Linked DNA regions of Saccharomyces cerevisiae S288C. Changing the gene in region 1 together with any one later gene gives a genetic interaction. Each region holds a gene or a part of one and is shown on either strand. Other genes may lie near its edges.

Region 1 (3,599 bases):
ACGTGAGAATGCAAGCACATATGGGCGGTCACCTTCCGGGTTTAGACCGCGGTATTCCATTACGTCCGCTTCTCTCAATCCGCGTCACCAAAGAAGGAAATCAGATACTATTTCAACTTCAAGGCGACCAGCCAAATCCTTTTCATTTTCAGTTGCTTCTCCCACATCAAGGATGTTGAGGCAATCCAGCAAAATCAATGGACACCCACCGCCAATTCTGCAGAAAAAAACAAGTATGGGCCGGCTAATGTTTCCTATGGATGCCAAGACCTATGACCCGGAAAGCCATGAACTTATCCCACATTCTGCCAGCATTGAAACACCTGCCATGGTAGACAAGAAATTGCATTTTGGCCGAAAGAGTAGATACTTGAGGCATATGAACAAAAAATGGGTCAGCAGTAGCAACATATTATACACAGATTCGGATAAAGAAGACCATCCTACATTGAGACTGATAAGTAACTTCGATTCAGACGCAATGATTCATAGTGATTTAGCGGGCAATTTCAGGCGTCATAGCATTGATGGAAGACCCCCTTCTCAAGCTACAAAGAGCTCACCGTTTCGATCGAGGCCTTCTTCTTCAACGCAGCACAAAAGCACCACCAGTTTTACTCAATAAGAAAACACGGGCTTGCTTATATATCCTCTAGATATTCTTTTTCATCTATGTATTTATTCGAATGGCCTTTCTCATTCATATCATTTTCAAAGCGGAAATCGAAATCATTGTTTTCTCTCGAGCTGCACTAAGAAAAAAAGCCACTTTACTAAAACAATACCTTCAACATATTTGAAAATATTATTATGGTGGAAGAAAGATATTGGTTACACAAATGAGTCAGTCTTACGAAGCAGGAAATGCCAATATGGGCCAAGGGGAGGATGATGAATTTGATGGCTATTTCGAAGACTTTGACAACGATATCATGCCAAATAGTAATAATGGACAAAGGGTTGGTACTAATGCTGGATTGTCATTCAATGACGAAGTAAATGTTAATGATGATGATTTTTTAGACATTTATAATATGTCCCCTAGAGAGAGATTGATGCATAATATCAGGAAGAATGTTCAAAAATTACAGTTTTATTTTTATTCACTACGCTTATGGCAACAGATTATCATTGTCCTCCTCGGCATAATGCTAATGATAATGGGTATATTGTTGCTCGTCTTCCATAATGCGATTTTACATAAAGTTGTTGTTACTTCGAACGATTTGAGAGAAAAGATGTCAACACATTTTATATTAATGGTTCTGATATTCTTTGTCGCATTTCCTCCTATGATTGGCTACTCCTTATTATCCACCACTACTGGGTTGATCTATGGTGTCAGTTTTGAGGGATGGGTTACGCTAGCTTTGGGATCTGTAACAGGTTCCATTGCCTCTTTCGTTGTGTTCAAGACGATCTTGCATTCAAGAGCAGAAAAGCTTGTGCATTTGAATAGAAGATTTGAAGCATTGGCTTCAATTTTACAAGAAAACAATAGCTATTGGATTCTAGCTCTACTGAGATTATGTCCCTTCCCATATTCTTTGACTAATGGTGCCATAGCTGGTGTTTACGGTATCTCGGTACGCAACTTTTCCATTGCCAACATAATAACCACACCAAAGCTGTTCATCTATCTATTTATAGGTTCTCGTGTAAAGAGTCTCGCAGAATCTGAATCTACAGGATCTAGGGTATTTGACTTGGTAAGCATTATTATCACATTATTAATCCTAAGTCTTACAGCATGGCTCTTATACTTCAAGACTAAGAAGAGATATTTAGAACTACAAAACCGCGACCGTCAAGTGTCCACTGATCAACTACCTGAATTGTCTTTTGAGGTCTAATCCTCCGTATACGTTTATATATGTTTAGATAAGTTGGTTTTATATGGGTAACCCAAATTACTATTTCTACTTCTTTCTACGTCCGATATAAAGAACTTAAAAGACAAAAAGCAGTTTTTCGAAGCGACATCAACCAATCTAAGTTAAGGTATGGAAAGATAAAATACAAGAAATGTTACGCAACATCATCAGGTTCAAAGGATTTGGAAAAGGGACCAGTGGAGGATTTTTAAAACCTGTATCATTTCGTGTTCAGTTAACGCGATGTTACCGCTATGACAATGGTCCTTCATATCGTCGATTTAATAATGGAGAGTATTCCCAAAAATCATCGTTTAAAAGCATTCTTCTCGATAAGTCATCAAGAAAATACTTAGCTTTATTATTTGGTGGATGCTCTCTCTTTTATTATACACATTTGGATAAAGCACCGGTAAGCGATAGGTCCAGGTTCATCTGGGTATCGCGTCCATTAGAGTTAACTATCGGAAATTACACATACAAATCAATTTGGAGACAAACGCAGCAGGAAATATTACCTCCACAGCATCCGCTGTCCATCAAAATTGAGAATATTTTCATGAAAATTGTCGAAGCTGCTTATAAGGACCCTAGTGTAGACAACTCACTACTGGACGGAATCAAGTGGGAAATTCATGTGGTCAATGATCCAACTGCTTCACCAAATGCATTCGTTTTACCAGGGGGTAAGGTCTTTATATTCAGCTCTATTTTACCTATTTGTGCTAATGATGATGGGATTGCCACTGTTTTAGCACACGAATTTGCTCATCAGCTAGCAAGACACACAGCCGAAAATTTGTCGAAGGCTCCTATATATTCTCTTTTGGGTTTGGTGTTATATACTGTTACTGGAGCTCATGCTATCAACAATATACTATTGGATGGGTTTTTGCGAATGCCAGCATCAAGACAGATGGAAACCGAAGCTGATTACATTGGCCTGATGATAATGTCAAGGGCATGTTTTCAACCACAGGAGTCAATAAAAGTGTGGGAAAGAATGGCAAATTTTGAAAAGCAAATGAATAGAGGGGGTGTTGTGAATATGGAGTTTCTAAGTACACATCCAGCAAGCACTCGTAGAATAGAGAATATGTCGAAATGGTTGCCAAAAGCTAATGAAATTTATGAACAATCTGATTGTAGCAGTATGGGTAACTATTATAAAAGTTTTTTCTCAATGTAAGCACTCCACGAGTTATGCTCTTTTCTTTTGTACCCAATAAATAACCCTTTGTTTTATGCATGCATATAACTATATAATAACATATATGAATATTTTGCCTATTAGCACGCTCTTCCCATAAACTAAAAAAAAGGCTTCCTTCTTTTGAAAGGTTTCATTGAATTTTCTTTGCCGTTCAGTATATTTTGCTTTTTCGTTTTTTGCTTTTTGTCTTCTTTGTTTGAATTGTCGGTCATTTTGAGCTCCTGTATCACACTGTCTCTCATATCCTTACATCTCCTAATATTGATATCAATATCATCTTCAACCTTGTCCAGAGTATGTTCATAGTGTTCACCAAAGAGGCCTGTAGTTGTGGCCTCCTGATCATTTTTAATACGCTTGATGTCGTAGAGTAACCCACCATATTCCATTAACCAGAATGGATCTACAGAAGTAACACAACAAATGTATTCTTTGCTAGTCATTAATAATTCATGATATACCACGTAAGGGGGTAAATCCCCCAATCCGTGTAATGCACTTGTAGGGTGTAG
Region 2 (4,036 bases), on another chromosome or scaffold:
AGTTTTTTGTTCATGGAATGAATGGCATTAATATTTGATTCAATATCATTTTGACTATCTTTCAAAAAGGTTTCTAAGTGGTGACTTAAATAATAAACATACCAAAACATAGAGTATGCTTCAAAGGGTTTGTAAATATCCAAATCAAACCCCTTTAAAGAGAATTCGATCATACTTGATAGTTTCATAAAATATGTCCACGAACAGTAAACTTGTGAATTGACACTTTCAAACTGGGCTTGAAGAGAATCCCATAGAATAAGTTGCCTGTTAAAACCTTGTCTATATCTACATGTGTTTTGGGAGCAGTTTTGGTACCATTCTAAAAGCATATTAGAGCTTTCTTGGATAAGTTCATTACCAATAGAGGATTCAAATTCAGATGGAGTTTGTGCTGAAAACTCCTTGACATGTAGCAAATAAAATTGGGTATATGAAAATTTACCCAAAACTGTTCTGTCGTCTCTAATGAAAAATAAGGGGAATAAGATCCTTGCAATGACATGCCTTTGTTCCAACTTGTTGAAGAATTTGGCAAACTGGTAGGTCTCCAACGCAGACTCGGCTTTATCTACAAGGAGTATTGTTTTAACATCATTTGCCAGTGTAATAAAGCCGCTGTAATCCGTCGGTAACTTCGTAATCTTCCTGGGAGGGAATTGATTAGACCTGTGCTTTTGTATATATGTTGAGAACGCACCCTTTGGTGGAGACAGCTGTAATTGTGGAAATATGCCATTAACCGAGTTAGCGTTTTCAATTAGCTCATCCAGGTGGCTTGTCTTTGTGGAATAGTCTGTCAGATGGTCTTCTAAGTGGACTAAGCAAATGATAATTTTTAGTATATGCTTCAGCATAGTTAAATGTAAGCTATCATCAGAATATGCCTCTAATATCTGAAGGCTCTCGGTGAGAGAATTGATAACAACATCTTGCCCCGGCAAATTATCGAATGTATTAAACCCCATGTTATTAAAATTTAAATCCTCCTCTTCAAAAACAATACCAGCACTCAAGAGTTTCTGCACAAATTTTGTTAAATAACAAACGCCAAGTATGCAACTTCCTAGTACTTTATCATACAAAATATTCCCTGTACACCAGGACGAACCGGCAGTTGTTCCCTTAACTAATGACGATAATAAGCTTTCTGTATACCTGCAGCTTAATACAGTAGTGGGTAAAGTCTGGTAGTCATTCAGCCAGGAGATAACACATCTAAGTAATCTATCCGCTATGGCTGCTACACTTGCCAACGGTGGATCGTAGGCCACGTTCACATCAAATTCTATTTCTTCTGCTGTCAATTCTATCAGACTGGAGTCTAATTTGGAGTTGTTGACCTCTAAAGAATGTGTACCCTCGAACAAATCAAACCTGGGATCTTTCACGATAGCCTCTGGTTTTAGTTTTGAACACAATTCATCAAACAGACTTGTGACGTCAACCAATTGGTCAAAATCATCAGTTATGCTCAAGGAACCTAATATACTGTCTACTTCCATTCTCGGAAACGTACCAGCTATTATCAAAGTTGCTCTACACTAGCACAGTTGTTTTCAATCTCAGCGCCACTCTTCTTGCTATTGAAGAGCTGCTATTTTACTTGTATCTCTTCGTGAAATTTCACTCCATCTCATAATTATTACCCGAAAACATAACAATGTGAAATAATCGTATTATGTAAAGGTTAGATAATATAACAACTACTAGATAATACAGTACTCTTATTCATTTATTTAGGCACCTGATTCCACTATTACCTATTCAATAGGTGTGCCGAGTTCCTTTGTCTTACGTAATTTTACACATCTTTTATGGGTCATATTTCGATATGTAAGGTAATAACGGGAATCTCCGGATTTACTTTAAAGTGGGAGGGAGAAGTTCCTTTCTTCTGATTTGCGGGTGCTCCGAAAGAACAAAGAATAAATAGGTAAAGCAGTGAAACATAGTATTTGCTGGTTAAAATCATGATCGCTTTGAAGCCCAATGCTGTTCGAACCTTCCGACAAGTGCAGCATTGCAGCTTTCGCATTTGTCGGTATCAATCTACGAAGTCAAATAAGTGTCTGACGCCCTTGCAAGAGTACGACAGACTGGTGAAGTTGGGGAAGCTACGGGATGATACATATCAGCGTGGTATCATCTCTTCCTTAGGGGATTTGTATGATTCACTGGTTAAATATGTACCTCCGGTTGTCAAGACACCCAATGCTGTCGACCAAGTTGGCGGTTGGTTGAATGGTCTTAAATCCGTATTTAGCCGTGGCAAACCTAAGAACATTGGGGCGTATGTGGATGTATCCAAAATTGGTAACTCGATACCTCGAGGAGTTTACCTATATGGAGATGTTGGCTGCGGAAAGACAATGTTGATGGACCTTTTTTATACTACAATTCCCAATCATTTAACAAAAAAGAGAATACATTTTCACCAGTTTATGCAATATGTTCACAAAAGGTCGCATGAAATTGTTAGAGAGCAAAATTTGAAAGAACTAGGTGATGCAAAAGGAAAAGAGATCGATACGGTTCCATTTTTGGCCGCAGAGATTGCAAATAATTCGCATGTTCTTTGTTTTGACGAGTTTCAAGTCACTGACGTGGCAGATGCAATGATATTGAGAAGGCTGATGACTGCCTTACTATCCGATGATTATGGTGTCGTACTTTTCGCAACCTCGAATAGACATCCAGATGAGTTGTATATCAACGGTGTTCAAAGACAATCATTTATTCCTTGTATTGAACTGATAAAGCATAGAACTAAGGTTATCTTCTTGAATTCGCCAACAGATTACCGTAAGATTCCAAGACCTGTGTCCTCAGTTTACTATTTCCCATCCGATACGAGCATAAAATACGCATCAAAGGAATGTAAAACCCGTCGAGAAACTCATATTAAGGAATGGTATAACTATTTCGCACAGGCTTCCCACACCGATGATTCCACTGATTCACACACGGTGCATAAGACATTTTATGATTATCCATTAACTATTTGGGGGAGAGAGTTCAAAGTCCCTAAGTGTACCCCACCTCGAGTCGCGCAGTTTACTTTCAAGCAGTTGTGTGGTGAGCCTTTGGCCGCAGGAGATTACTTGACGTTGGCAAAAAATTTTGAAGCCTTTATAGTGACCGATATTCCATATTTGTCCATTTACGTTCGTGATGAAGTGAGAAGATTTATTACATTTTTAGATGCTGTATATGACAGTGGCGGGAAACTGGCCACTACGGGTGCAGCGGATTTTTCTTCCTTGTTTGTGGAACCTGAACAGATACTTAATGATTTTGAGTTACGCCCAACAACCAAAGAACCTGATAGCGTCGATACTGGTATGGTAGATGAGATGGTTGAGAAACACGGTTTTTCGAAAGAGATTGCCAAGAAATCGCAGATGTTTGCTCTTGATGAAGAAAGATTTGCCTTTGCCCGTGCCTTAAGCAGGCTGTCACAGATGAGCTCCACCGATTGGGTTACTAAGCCTACATACTAAACCCTATGTAACAAAAGTGTTTATTTATATTCTTGTATTTATTCTAAACACGAACTTTGATCGTCTAACAATTGCCGCAGTTACACCTTTAACAATAGTGCTTTTTATTACTGATATTACTCACCTGATTTTTTGTTACCCGAATGCAAATTTGATTAGGAACGGGGATTGTTAAAAGACAATGGCAGTACAGATAAAGGTTAGATGAAGCAGCAGTAGAATAAATCAGCATCTGTAGTACATAGGTTCCTAACAGCATTGTGAAAAAGGTTCAAAAATGTCTGGTAATAGAGAGCAAGTCTTTCCTACGCGTATGACGCTGGGTTTGATGAAGACCAAGTTAAAAGGTGCCAACCAAGGTTATTCTTTACTAAAGCGTAAGTCTGAAGCCCTAACAAAGAGATTCAGAGATATTACCAAAAGAATTGATGATGCTAAGCAAAAGATGGGGAGAGTTATGCAAACTGCTGCCTTTTCCTTGGCCGAAGTTTCCTATGCAACAGGTGAAAACATTGGCTATCAAGTGCAAGAAA
Region 3 (2,367 bases), on another chromosome or scaffold:
GATAAAATTGATAAAGTTGTAATCCTGGATGTGATGTTCTGCTACCAGTCGTTCCTTTTCCTCCAGAACATTCTTACCTGACTCATAAATGGTTTGTAGAGTAGAACCAGATAAACTTTTTCTGAATTCAGGTCGTCTATCATCGTAATCTATCGAAGGTTGGCGGCTCAATTGTTCATGCCATCTTTCCAAAAAATCCATGGAGTAACTTAACAAACGCAATAATGTAAAATTGAAAAAAAAATCCCATCGAGGAACGATACCCTTATACCATTGATCCATGGGACTTAGGATGATAGCAATATTATTAAAGGGGAGATTTTTCATTTTTTGATTGATGAATAGTGTAAAGATACCATAGGACCAAATCGCAAAAGCGGCTATCAAACGCTTTCTCTTTAGCGAATGTGCCAAAGTGAAGAAAATAAAAGCATGCGTAAAGAGCTTAACAGAATTGATCCCGTACATGAAACAGACAAAAACTAATCCACACGCAAAATCGAATTTTGTTTTCGGAATTTTACTAAATTTAACAAAAACCTTTTTTAATATAATTTGTAGTAATATTAAGATGGCCAACAAAAAAAAATTGGATCTAAAAAACCTATACTGAGGATCGCTGTTATCCACTTTGCGGCCCAGAATCCAACCATGGGCTAGCAGTCCGCTGAATTTATAGTAGTTTGGATTAGACTCGGAGCTCGTAGCCAATGCCGCCTTTATCATGAAAGGAACTACTACGGTGAACGCCAAATAATATAGTCTAAATTCCCATGTATTCCATAGCGGAGGAGATGGGCTATTAGAGCTGAGCACAGGGTTACGGGTAACAGTAACGGCACTAGAAGATGAACCATTCTCTTCTTTAGATGAATTGATAAATATCCTTTGTCGCCTTTTGAATTCAATGTCTGGCTTTATTCGTGAATCAAGTGCCTGCACGGAAAAGAAATGTACGATGCAACTCCAGATTCTTAACATCGACATCTGACTTGTAGCGATGACGTCAATTATTTTTGAGCCCTATAATAAGGTAGTTGAGAAGACAAATTTGAAGCACCCAAAAACCCTCAAAACAGTACCTACCTCAAAGCTAGCTTCTCTTTCTTCTTCTATTTGACTTCATTTTTTCCATATTCACCATTGGTACCTTCCATAAACAACTATAACGCAGTACAAATGAAAAAAGAAGAAAAAAAAAAGAAAAAAAAAGAGACCTAAACGCGCCAAGATTACAGGTAAACGAGTAGAACTTTGATCTATGTGCCTGAAAACCCCTCGGGCACAGGGTTCATAACGAAAAAAAAAAAATCGTAAGTAATGGTAACCATAGTAACCGATGCATGGGTTTTAAAAGTCACGTGCTTAAGTCCATTAAGACCGGAAACCTCTACACCAGTTCTCCTTCTGCAAGGGTTTTCTTTTTTTATTTTTTTTGATGGGATGGCTCTCTTTCCCCGTGTTTGTACTTTTGATATATATAGGATATTCATCAAAACAGCGTTTCGAACTCAGCGCTTGCACGATAACATAAGCACCTCGAGACACATTAGGAAAATTTAACATCCTATTTATTTATTGAATTTACAGGCACGGAAGGCCAATTAGTTTAATTCAGACACATATCATGAGAGCAGTCACTAGAAACAAAATAGTCAATAACCTATACTTTTCTACATTTCTCATTGCATTCGCATCAGTGGCCATCGGTTCTGTGCTGCCATGTCCAGCACATTCAGTGGATTCTGATTCACCAGCTGTACAGCAACACAAGCTTCAGCTTGCTCATGAGCAGGAGTTAAAGAGGAAGGATGCTTTAAGTAAAAAGATTTAAACAGGTACGGGCTATCTGGAACTTTTGATAAGTTGTATTCTATCTCTTTTATTTCCTCTTTTTATTTATTTTCGAGTGCCGTAATCTTCGCTACTTCAAGTTTCATAATCAATCGACTTTCTGTATGGGTAAGCATCTGGTGTGATGCAGTTTCATTATGACACCACAAATACAAAAGAGACTATTTAAATATGTATATAGATCACATTCCAAAAAAGAAAACCATTAATAATATCACTCTTTAATATTCCAAATTGAAACGAAAAAGCGCTATTCTTATTCGCTTCCTAACTACCGCCCTAGTTCGTGCTTGCATTTTTTTGTAGAACGATAAATTATGGTATCCCACGTGATTGAGTGTAACCCTGAATTGTTGAAGAGAAAATGAAGCGGAAGAAGCAAAGGACAAAAAACAATTCATTTGATTTTGCCACTTCTAAATGAAGGTCTAATAAAAGCTATCTTGAGCATCTTTATTAGATTCTGCACAGCAACAAGCGATTTTCTTTGGTCAAAATATAATAATTGACTTA

What was found.
Region 2: of OMA1 (region 1) and AFG1, extra expression of one rescues a mutant of the other (dosage rescue), as found in Saccharomyces cerevisiae (one study listed by BioGRID).
Region 3: of OMA1 (region 1) and COA2, a mutation in one rescues a mutant of the other (synthetic rescue), as found in Saccharomyces cerevisiae (2 studies listed by BioGRID).

The regions. Positions count from the first base shown.
Region 1 is NC_001143.9:602,659-606,257, reverse strand, and holds OMA1 (metalloendopeptidase), read left to right. Parts: upstream 1-2,025; coding exon 2,026-3,063; downstream 3,064-3,599. Other genes in the region: TGL4 (triacylglycerol lipase), read left to right, coding at 1-625; TVP38 (Tvp38p), read left to right, coding at 840-1,853; DEAH-box RNA helicase PRP16, read right to left, coding at 3,186-3,599. UniProt on the Saccharomyces cerevisiae protein: Protease that is part of the quality control system in the inner membrane of mitochondria. Activated in response to various mitochondrial stress, leading to the proteolytic cleavage of target proteins, such as OXA1 and COX1.
Region 2 is NC_001137.3:54,598-58,633, forward strand, and holds AFG1 (Afg1p), read left to right. Parts: upstream 1-1,973; coding exon 1,974-3,503; downstream 3,504-4,036. Other genes in the region: MAK10 (Mak10p), read right to left, coding at 1-1,505; VMA8 (H(+)-transporting V1 sector ATPase subunit D), read left to right, coding at 3,781-4,036.
Region 3 is NC_001148.4:187,774-190,140, reverse strand, and holds COA2 (Coa2p), read left to right. Parts: upstream 1-1,627; coding exon 1,628-1,834; downstream 1,835-2,367. Other genes in the region: GUP2 (putative O-acyltransferase), read right to left, coding at 1-987. UniProt on the Saccharomyces cerevisiae protein: Required for efficient assembly of cytochrome c oxidase in the mitochondrial inner membrane. Seems to be involved in the SHY1-mediated step of cytochrome c oxidase maturation.